Drosophila melanogaster: one gene and its partner. The protein of the gene in region 2 interacts with the protein of the main gene of each other region in a pairwise test. Each region holds a gene or a part of one and is shown on either strand. Other genes may lie near its edges.

Evidence for each region.
Region 1: the proteins of GstO3 (region 2) and CG14864 interact in a two-hybrid assay, tested with the Drosophila melanogaster proteins (one large-scale study listed by BioGRID).

The regions. Positions count from the first base shown.
Region 1 is NT_033777.3:15,265,967-15,270,450, forward strand, and holds CG14864 (uncharacterized protein), read right to left. Parts: upstream 2,464-4,484; 5' UTR 2,407-2,463; coding exon 763-2,406; 3' UTR 718-762; downstream 1-717. Other genes in the region: ATPsynO (ATP synthase, oligomycin sensitivity conferring protein), read left to right, coding at 1-404, 467-622; Zip88E (Zinc/iron regulated transporter-related protein 88E), read left to right, coding at 2,797-3,045, 3,115-3,374, 3,438-3,639, 3,771-4,149, 4,219-4,229.
Region 2 is NT_037436.4:8,517,208-8,521,004, forward strand, and holds GstO3 (glutathione S transferase O3), read left to right. Parts: upstream 1-1,677; 5' UTR 1,678-1,746; coding exon 1,747-1,774; intron 1,775-2,304; coding exon 2,305-3,002; 3' UTR 3,003-3,088; downstream 3,089-3,797. Other genes in the region: CG6765 (uncharacterized protein), read left to right, coding at 1-51, 109-210, 265-451; se (sepia), read left to right, coding at 3,383-3,410, 3,467-3,797.

The DNA of each region.
Region 1 (4,484 bases), on a different chromosome or scaffold from region 2:
AGCCACCAGTGCAGGTGTTCGGTCTGGAGGGTCGCTATGCTACCGCCCTGTATTCGGCTGCCTCCAAGTTGAGCCAGTTGGATCAGGTGGAGAAGGATCTGACGGCCCTGCAGGCCACCATCCGTAGCGACAAGAAGCTGCGCGAGTACGTGACCAGCCCCATCATCAACAAGAAGGTCATGGCCACCGCTCTGAAGGAGGCATCCGAGAAGCTCCGCTTCGCCCCGGCCACCGTCAATCTGTTGGGTCTGCTGGCTGACAACGGACGTCTAAAGAAGCTGGACACCGTGATCAATGCCTACAAGACCATCATGGCCGCACATCGCGGTGAGGTCGTCTGCGAGGTGGTCACCGCCAAGCCCTTGGATGCGTCCCAGAGCAAGCAGCTGGAGGGTGCCCTTAAGGTAGCTACGCCTAGCTTCTGTCTTGTCTCACCCACTCAATTTATTGCTCATTTGCTTTGCAGTCTTTCCTGAAGGGCAACGAGTCTCTGAAGATCACTTCCCGCGTGGACCCCAGCATCATTGGTGGCCTGATCGTTTCCATTGGCGACAAGTACGTCGACATGAGCATTGCCACTAAGGTCAAGCTCTACACCGATGTCATCCAGACCGCTGCCTAGACTCTTAAGGATTTGCTCTTGATTTAGATGGTCAAACTGAAAGTTTGGTATTGGAATTCAAGCGGTAATAGCGAATAAAACACTCTTCACCCTTTGAAAACCAACAAAATTTATTCAGAGATATGCGCACTAGATTTGGTTTATGATTTAGATATATTTTTAGGATCCGGTATATCTGTGCACTGCAGCTCCGCAACCTTGTGCTGGATTGTCTGCTGCAGAAGGCTGTGCTGCTCCAGCAGATTCTCCAGCTCCTTGATGCGAGATCTCTGCAGTTCCAGAACCTTGGTGAAGTTACTCGTGGCCGGGGACTCAAGCCAGTTGATTAGAAAACTATTATGTTGCTCTTTATTATCGTTGGCGTTTTGTTGAGCATCAAAATTACTCTTCGTCTTGCTATCTAGTGTACTCGCATCCTGCCCTGGGTTGGGGCTGCAATCATTCAAAGGACTCTCCTCCAGGACCAGAACATTGGTCTCGTTCGAGGATCGACAAACTCTGTAATTGGGCTTGTCGATTTCCGGGAACACAGCTCGCTCATCATTTTCGGTCAGATCGGACTCTTGAACGCAAATCTCTGGAGGCGGCGCCATGGGACGTTGCTTCGCCGGAGAGCAGCACCCATCTTCATAGTCATTATTCCGGGTGCCGTTCATAAGCAGCACGTTGATTGCATTTGAAGTTCTTCTCTCGCCGCCGCCACAAGTAAAGTTATTCGAATTATTGGTGTATCCGCCAGATAAACCTGTCGCTGAGCTTCCAGTTTGATGGCTGAACGAGCCGGTCATCTTGGTTCGCCTAACAGGCGAAGAGCTCTGAGTCTGCAGCGTCACCGTTGAGCACTGCACTTCCTGATCCTTCAATTGCTGGGTGATGCACGTCTGGCAGCATTCGCTCTTCAGCTCCGGCTTTTTCTTCGTATTCTGCTGGTTCATCGAACTTTTAATTTTGTTGTTACCTCGTGAAGTTGGCGATACCGGGTAGTTCGGGCTACTGCGGAAATCATCTGCTACAGTTTTTATGTCCGTTGTCCTGAAAGCTGGACAAGTGAGACGTTCACAGGAACTCTGTTTTTTTGGGCTGCCTTTGGAATTATCCTTTCTTTCTTTATACTCTTTATTTATACTTTGTTGGCTGCCTGAATCCTCTTCTAGAGGGGCTACCGCTTTTTTGATCCCTTGCACTGGACAGAAACTACAGGTGCATCCATCACAGGTGCAGTTTACAGCTCCAAAGGTCGGTTTATTTACCCTTGGGCTTAATTTCATAGGTGGATTATTTTTGTTCTCTAAGTTTGTGGCCCTTGTTTGTGGATTGGGATACTTCTGTCCCATTTGGGTGTATGTATTGCCCTGGAACATGCTGTTGCAGGTGTTTCGAAAACGACAGCAACCATTCGTACATCTGTTCGCGCTGCTGAATTCCTGCCTCTCCGAGCCGAGACTCTGTTTGCTTTGGTTCTGGATCCGCTCGTTAGTCTTTTTGCTGATGGAATAGCCATGGCCAGCGTCCGATGCCGAAGAGCTCCACCTGCTCCATTCCTGCAGGCCAGCTTGAGTCCTTGCCCTGCCAGCAGCACGAGACGAGCTCTCCGATTCCGAACCTGATCCGTGGCCATCCAAATGGGAGGCGCAAACGCATCCGTGCCGGCATAGCGATTCGGGGTCGACGTCAAAACTGCTGAGGTTGGCCAAGTTCTGCCACCGGCGAGCCTCCGACATGTTGCGCGGGTAGACGCACTGCTCGCCCGGCTCCTGGCCACAGATTATACAACGACGATGCATTTTCCAACGGACAACCAGGACGGAAACGGTAAAATTTTGAATTTTAACTACAGGAGCATTTGTCGAAGTGCAAAACTATAATTGGAGAGGGTGCCTACCTTCTTTTATTGAAATTCTTAATGGTGGTGGTTGGTAAAAGAATAGTTCTAGATTTAAATGTTTAAATAAAATTAAAAAAAAAAAAAACCGTTTAAATGAGTGTGATCTGAAAGGCGCACTGCTGAAATGCCTTACTTTTCTGTGGCCCCCCCATTGTAAGGCGTTTTGGTATTTCGCACGAAAGCAGCTGCACACACTTCGCAACTGTTTAGTTTAAAAATAGTAAATGCAACGAACTTTTGTGTGTTTTACTGGCCCCCTTCTTGATGACACAGTCTGGCAGTTGATACAATGAGCTTGCCAACCGACGGTCTAAACATGGAGATCACCCCAAGCCCCACCCTGGCTGCCACGAGTCGCGGCGACTTGGAAAAAGTGCTGGCTATGCTGGTCCTCGGACTCGGGAGTCTTTTGTTCGGATTGCTGCCCGCCTTTATATCGGAACGGAATCGTCGCCGCTTCCCGCTGACCGCATCCCTGCTCCTGTGCTTCGGAGCGGGCATTCTGCTAGCCACCGCACTGGTGCACATTCTGCCCGAGGTAAGAGCTTGGACTGCGATCGTGTGTGTGGCTGCAATTTGATAACCTGCTGACTTACGCATGCAACAGGTGCGCGAACAAATGGACTCGAAATTCGCTGAGGTTGCCATGTGCGGCGGGTTCTTCATCATCTACTTTATCGACGAGTTCATACACTACTTCTTTGGCGAGGCCATTCAGCACACTCATGCCCACGATGCAGAGACTCCAGCAACCGAGCCACCAAGACGTCCCACTAATGACAATGGTTATGGCGCAGTGGACGAACGAGCGCCCCTTTTATCAGCGGAACCCAATACGTCACATGGGCATTCGCACCATCATAGCCAGTAGGTTTATTGCATTTCCCTTCCCGCAGCCAAAACTAATTGCTTTGTGCTTCGATTACGCAGCGATCATGACCACAATCACCCGGCCAGCGCATCTGGCTGTAATGATGCCAGTGTAGAGGACGCCAACGCCCGCATCTGCCACACCAGCCACACGGAACCCTGCGCCCAATCCATGACAGGCACTCTGGGTCTCTTTGTCGCCCTGTCACTGCACTCGGCCATCGAAGGACTCGCCATCGGCGTTCAGAACTCTTCCACAAAGGTCTGTGCCGCCTGCCTTGACATAGTTAGACTAGATCGGCTATAGTGCGCAATCTTAGGCAAATATTGAAGCAAAGAGATGCGAGGGCTTAGTCCAATTAGATAACCGGAATCTGCTTTGTCTCGTCGTAGGTTCTGTTTCTTCTAGGGGCCGTCGCCTGCCACAAGTTCGTGATGGGCTTTTGTCTGGGGCTCGAGTTCCGCTCGAATCCGCAGACGAGTTTTCGCGCCCAGTTCGTCGGCATTTCGGTGTTTGCCCTGGGCGCCGTCATTGGCATTGGCCTGGGCATGCTTATCGTGGACGTGCCCGCCGCTTGGTCCAGCAAAACTCTGCCTATCGTCCAAGCTCTGGCCGGAGGCACACTCTTCTACGTCACCGTCTGCGAGGTGATACCGCGCGAGAAGGCGCGCTGGCACTCGAACTCAACGCGACGCTGGGCGGGATTTGCACAGTTTGCAACTGTGCTCGCCGGCTTTGCGACCATGTGCATCATAAACTTTTATCTTTCTGGTGCGTAGCATTATGTGATTTGCATTTCCCTTTCGACATTGCTGACCTATTTTCTTCGCGCCTTTTCAGATGAGGATTAGACATCTTTTCGTTGAGAAATCGTTTCAGCGCTGTGAGAAAATGTGCCGCTTTTTAAACTTAGAACACTTAGGATAATATTATGGATTGGCAGCTGTTAATCTCTTGTGTAAGACTTGTTACTTGTGCATTTCCAACTAATCTTGTTTTAGGTACATTGTCGATCTGCCGTAGGATAAGTAAAAAGTTCAGTCTTCTCGTCTACATTTATATTTTCTCTTTCTCCAAAGTTTGTGTTATTTTTTATGCTTTTATTA
Region 2 (3,797 bases):
GAACAATATGGATCACGATCACGTAACTCTGCTCTGCGATTTGTGTTCCACGTAAGTGTTTGGAGTTATAGAAGCAAAATATATACTAACTCCCTTTCCCATGTGCAGATCCTTTGATACGCCGGCGGAGTGGGTGCGCCACATGAACAGCCAGCACACGGAGATCGAGTTGGCCATGTTCAACAGCAAGAAGGATGGCGAGCAGAAGGGGTGTGTGTCCTAAGGGCTAGCAAAAGCACACTGATGAACTCTGTTCACTTGCAGCCAGCAGCCACCGCCACCGCCGGCGACCAGCAGCTCTTCCACAGTGTCCAACAGCCAAATGCAGCCAAAGTATCCCAGCTCCACCGCCACCAGATCGACGCACTCCCTCATGCTGCACAAGATGAGCAACAGCGATGCAGTGGCCACAACCACATCTCCTGGAGCATCCACCTCACCGAATGGCTAAGGCCAGCCATAGGGATCAACTTCAAAGAACCATTGGACCATTGGCGAATGAAGCTGAAGGATTCGAAACCGGATGCCCATGGATAAATTTGAAAACAGCCATATTCTTCATTCATTTTCAAAAATCTCAAGTCGTTCCAATAATCAAAAGTGAGATGGATGTTTATATGCAACAGCAAGAACCGTGATCAAAATGCAACCAGTTTGCATATTTTATAGAGCAACAAACAAAATACAAATTGCGAACAAAAAAAAATTAACGAAACTATAAACGAAACTTAGAATGGAAATCGTCAGGCAACGATGCAAAACAAGACAAAGCAAGAAATTCAGAAACGAAAGCAAAGCAACATTTAACTCCAGTGTGTAGAATTTTTTTAAGTGTACGTATTTACTTAGTTTTAGCTATTTATCCCATGTATTTACCGTAACAACAACGCGCAATTGATTCGGGAAAAAAAACGATACAGTTTAATCATTAAATTTTAATGTTTACCATTTGCGGACATTTTTAAAATGAATTAAAAACTAAAAATTAATCATCCACTTGAGTTTTCAAAAGGATGCATCAAAAGAAATCCCATTTGTAGGACCAAAAGCAGCGAAAGGATCTTTTTACATTTTGATAAACAATTAATTCCAGCAGCAAGTGTAGTTGTCATTATTTATTACTTTCCAATTTGGTTTTTCGAATGCAATTACTGATAACAACTATTTATCGCGACTCAATGATGTCAGCAACTCTGTTGTATATGTATTAATACTTTTTTGTATTTTTTGTAAGGCATGAACGGAAATTTCGAGAACTTTTTTGTACATAGATTAAGTTTGATTTCGAAAGTCCGCCGATCGAAACTTTTTACGAAAAGTTCATAAACTTAAAACTCTAAATGTACGTAGTAGTTCCGAGGTTCAATTAAAAACAAAAATAAAGCTCCCCCCAAACCATGTAAAAACAAAATATATCTATATTTACAAACAGGCGTGATTATTAACAAACTAAGTAGATGTACTATGTATAATGCGGAGGAAATGATTGTCTCTTCCCACAAAACAAATCGCAAATGTAGTAAAGCGTTTTAAATCGAAATAAACGTCTGCGATGAGAAATCGTTTTTAAAAGCTAACGAAAACTAAGAGTCACGTCGCAAAAAGCTCGATTATTCTTATTCGCGTTAAAACACAAACAAAAAACTTTATATAAACAGAGCGCCGTCGAAGAGAAAACTCAGTTCGCATTTCACCGTCGACATTTCAACAGTTAAGCGAATTTGTTCAGTTCTGCAATTAAACAAAATGAGTTCTGGTAAACATTTGGCCAAAGGTAAGAGAGCAAGCAAAACCAGTTGTCGCCGCCGCCAAGAGAAACGCCCATGTCATTAGAGTGTTTATAGTATTATTTATAAAACAAGTTCTCCAACATTCAGCGTAATTATCGAATAACGATTTTTATATTTCATAATGTTAAAGAATATTGGCATGAATAACTGGGATTTTTTGGTTAAAAAGTTAGAAAGGTATATTATTTGGTAAATTTCAATACGATCTTTATTCTTTTACAATTGTAGGTAATGCATTAAATTAATTATTTGATTTGTAAAATTTACTTACATTTTTAGCTATAGCTTTCACCCCGATATCAGATAACCCATAATATTTACACTCTAAAAGATAACGTAGCTACAAAATTTGAGCTTTATCACGACTGGGCCCTATCAACATTAACTTAAGTGCAATGACTTGCTAAACAAATAATAATACAGGGGTGGATTTTAGGGTTCCACAAGTGACTCATGAAGTTATTGATTTATTTGTATAACCTAAATTTAACTGGTAAATAAATTCTATCTTTAGGTTCCCCCAAGCCTGTACTCCCTGACGATGGAGTCCTTCGCCTGTACTCCATGAGGTTCTGTCCCTACGCTCAGCGGGCTCATCTCGTCCTGAACGCCAAGAATGTGCCCTATCACAGTGTCTACATCAATCTCACCGAGAAACCAGAGTGGCTGGTGGAAGTGAGTCCGTTGCTTAAGGTGCCTGCCCTGCAGCTGGTGGCGGAGAAGGGTGAGCCCTCGCTCATCGAGTCGCTGATTATTGCCGAGTATCTGGACGATAAGTACCCGGAGAATCCGTTGCTGCCCAAGGACCCATTGAAGCGGGCACAGGACAAGATTCTGCTGGAACGTTTCAGCAGCATCACCAGTGCCTTCATAAACATCCTTGTGCAGGGCACCGGTCTGGAGGATTACTGGACGGCACTTGATATCTTTGAGGAGGAGTTGACCAAGCGGGGCACCCCATATTTTGGCGGCAACAAGCCGGGATTCGTGGACTACATGATCTGGCCCTGGTTCGAACGCCTCTCTGTAATCGAGTTGAAGTTGCAGAAGGAGTACAACTTCAACGAGAGTCGTTTCCCGAAGATCACCAAGTGGATTGCCCTCCTGAAGGCGGACTCGGTGGTGCAGTCCTTCTATGCCACTCCCGAGCAGCACAACGAGTTCTGGCGCACCCGCAAGGCCGGCAATGCAAACTACGATCTGCTGGCTTAGATCGGTACTGAAAATGAAACTATTATATAACAAAGGAGATTTAATAATGTTCTAAAAACAATAAAAACTAAAATATTTTATGTGACAAAGAAATGAATTAAGGCTAGAAAGGCAAGAATTCCGTTCCAGATTCACAGAACGTGGTTCGAAAAACTTAGTTCTTAAAAAGTTTTGTTTTAAACAAATATTTTGGAGCAATATGCAGGTTGCAAGGGGGCTTCACTGTATCCACATGGCTTGGTATGTGTGTCAGCCGCAAGCCACCAAGTTCAGCCGCGTAAGCGAAGCCAACCGGCGAAGGGCAGTGAGCTGCACTTTATAAATCACTCGAATGACAATCGCTATCACCACTTGCATCTCTGGACCCGAGCACGCACATCATGAGTAACGGCAGGCATTTGGCAAAAGGTGGGTAGAGCCAGGAAACCAGGATAATCATAATTGATAATAAATGCGCCCACTAGGCTCACCCATGCCGGATGTTCCCGAAGATGGTATCCTTCGCCTGTACTCGATGCGCTTCTGCCCATTTGCCCAACGGGTGCATCTGGTCCTGGACGCCAAGCAGATCCCGTATCACAGCATCTACATTAATCTCACAGACAAGCCGGAGTGGCTGCTGGAGAAGAATCCACAGGGCAAGGTGCCGGCTCTAGAAATCGTGCGAGAACCTGGACCACCTGTGCTCACAGAGTCGCTACTGATTTGTGAATATCTGGACGAGCAGTATCCATTGCGACCACTCTATCCACGTGATCCGCTGAAGAAAGTGCAGGACAAGTTACTAATCGAGCG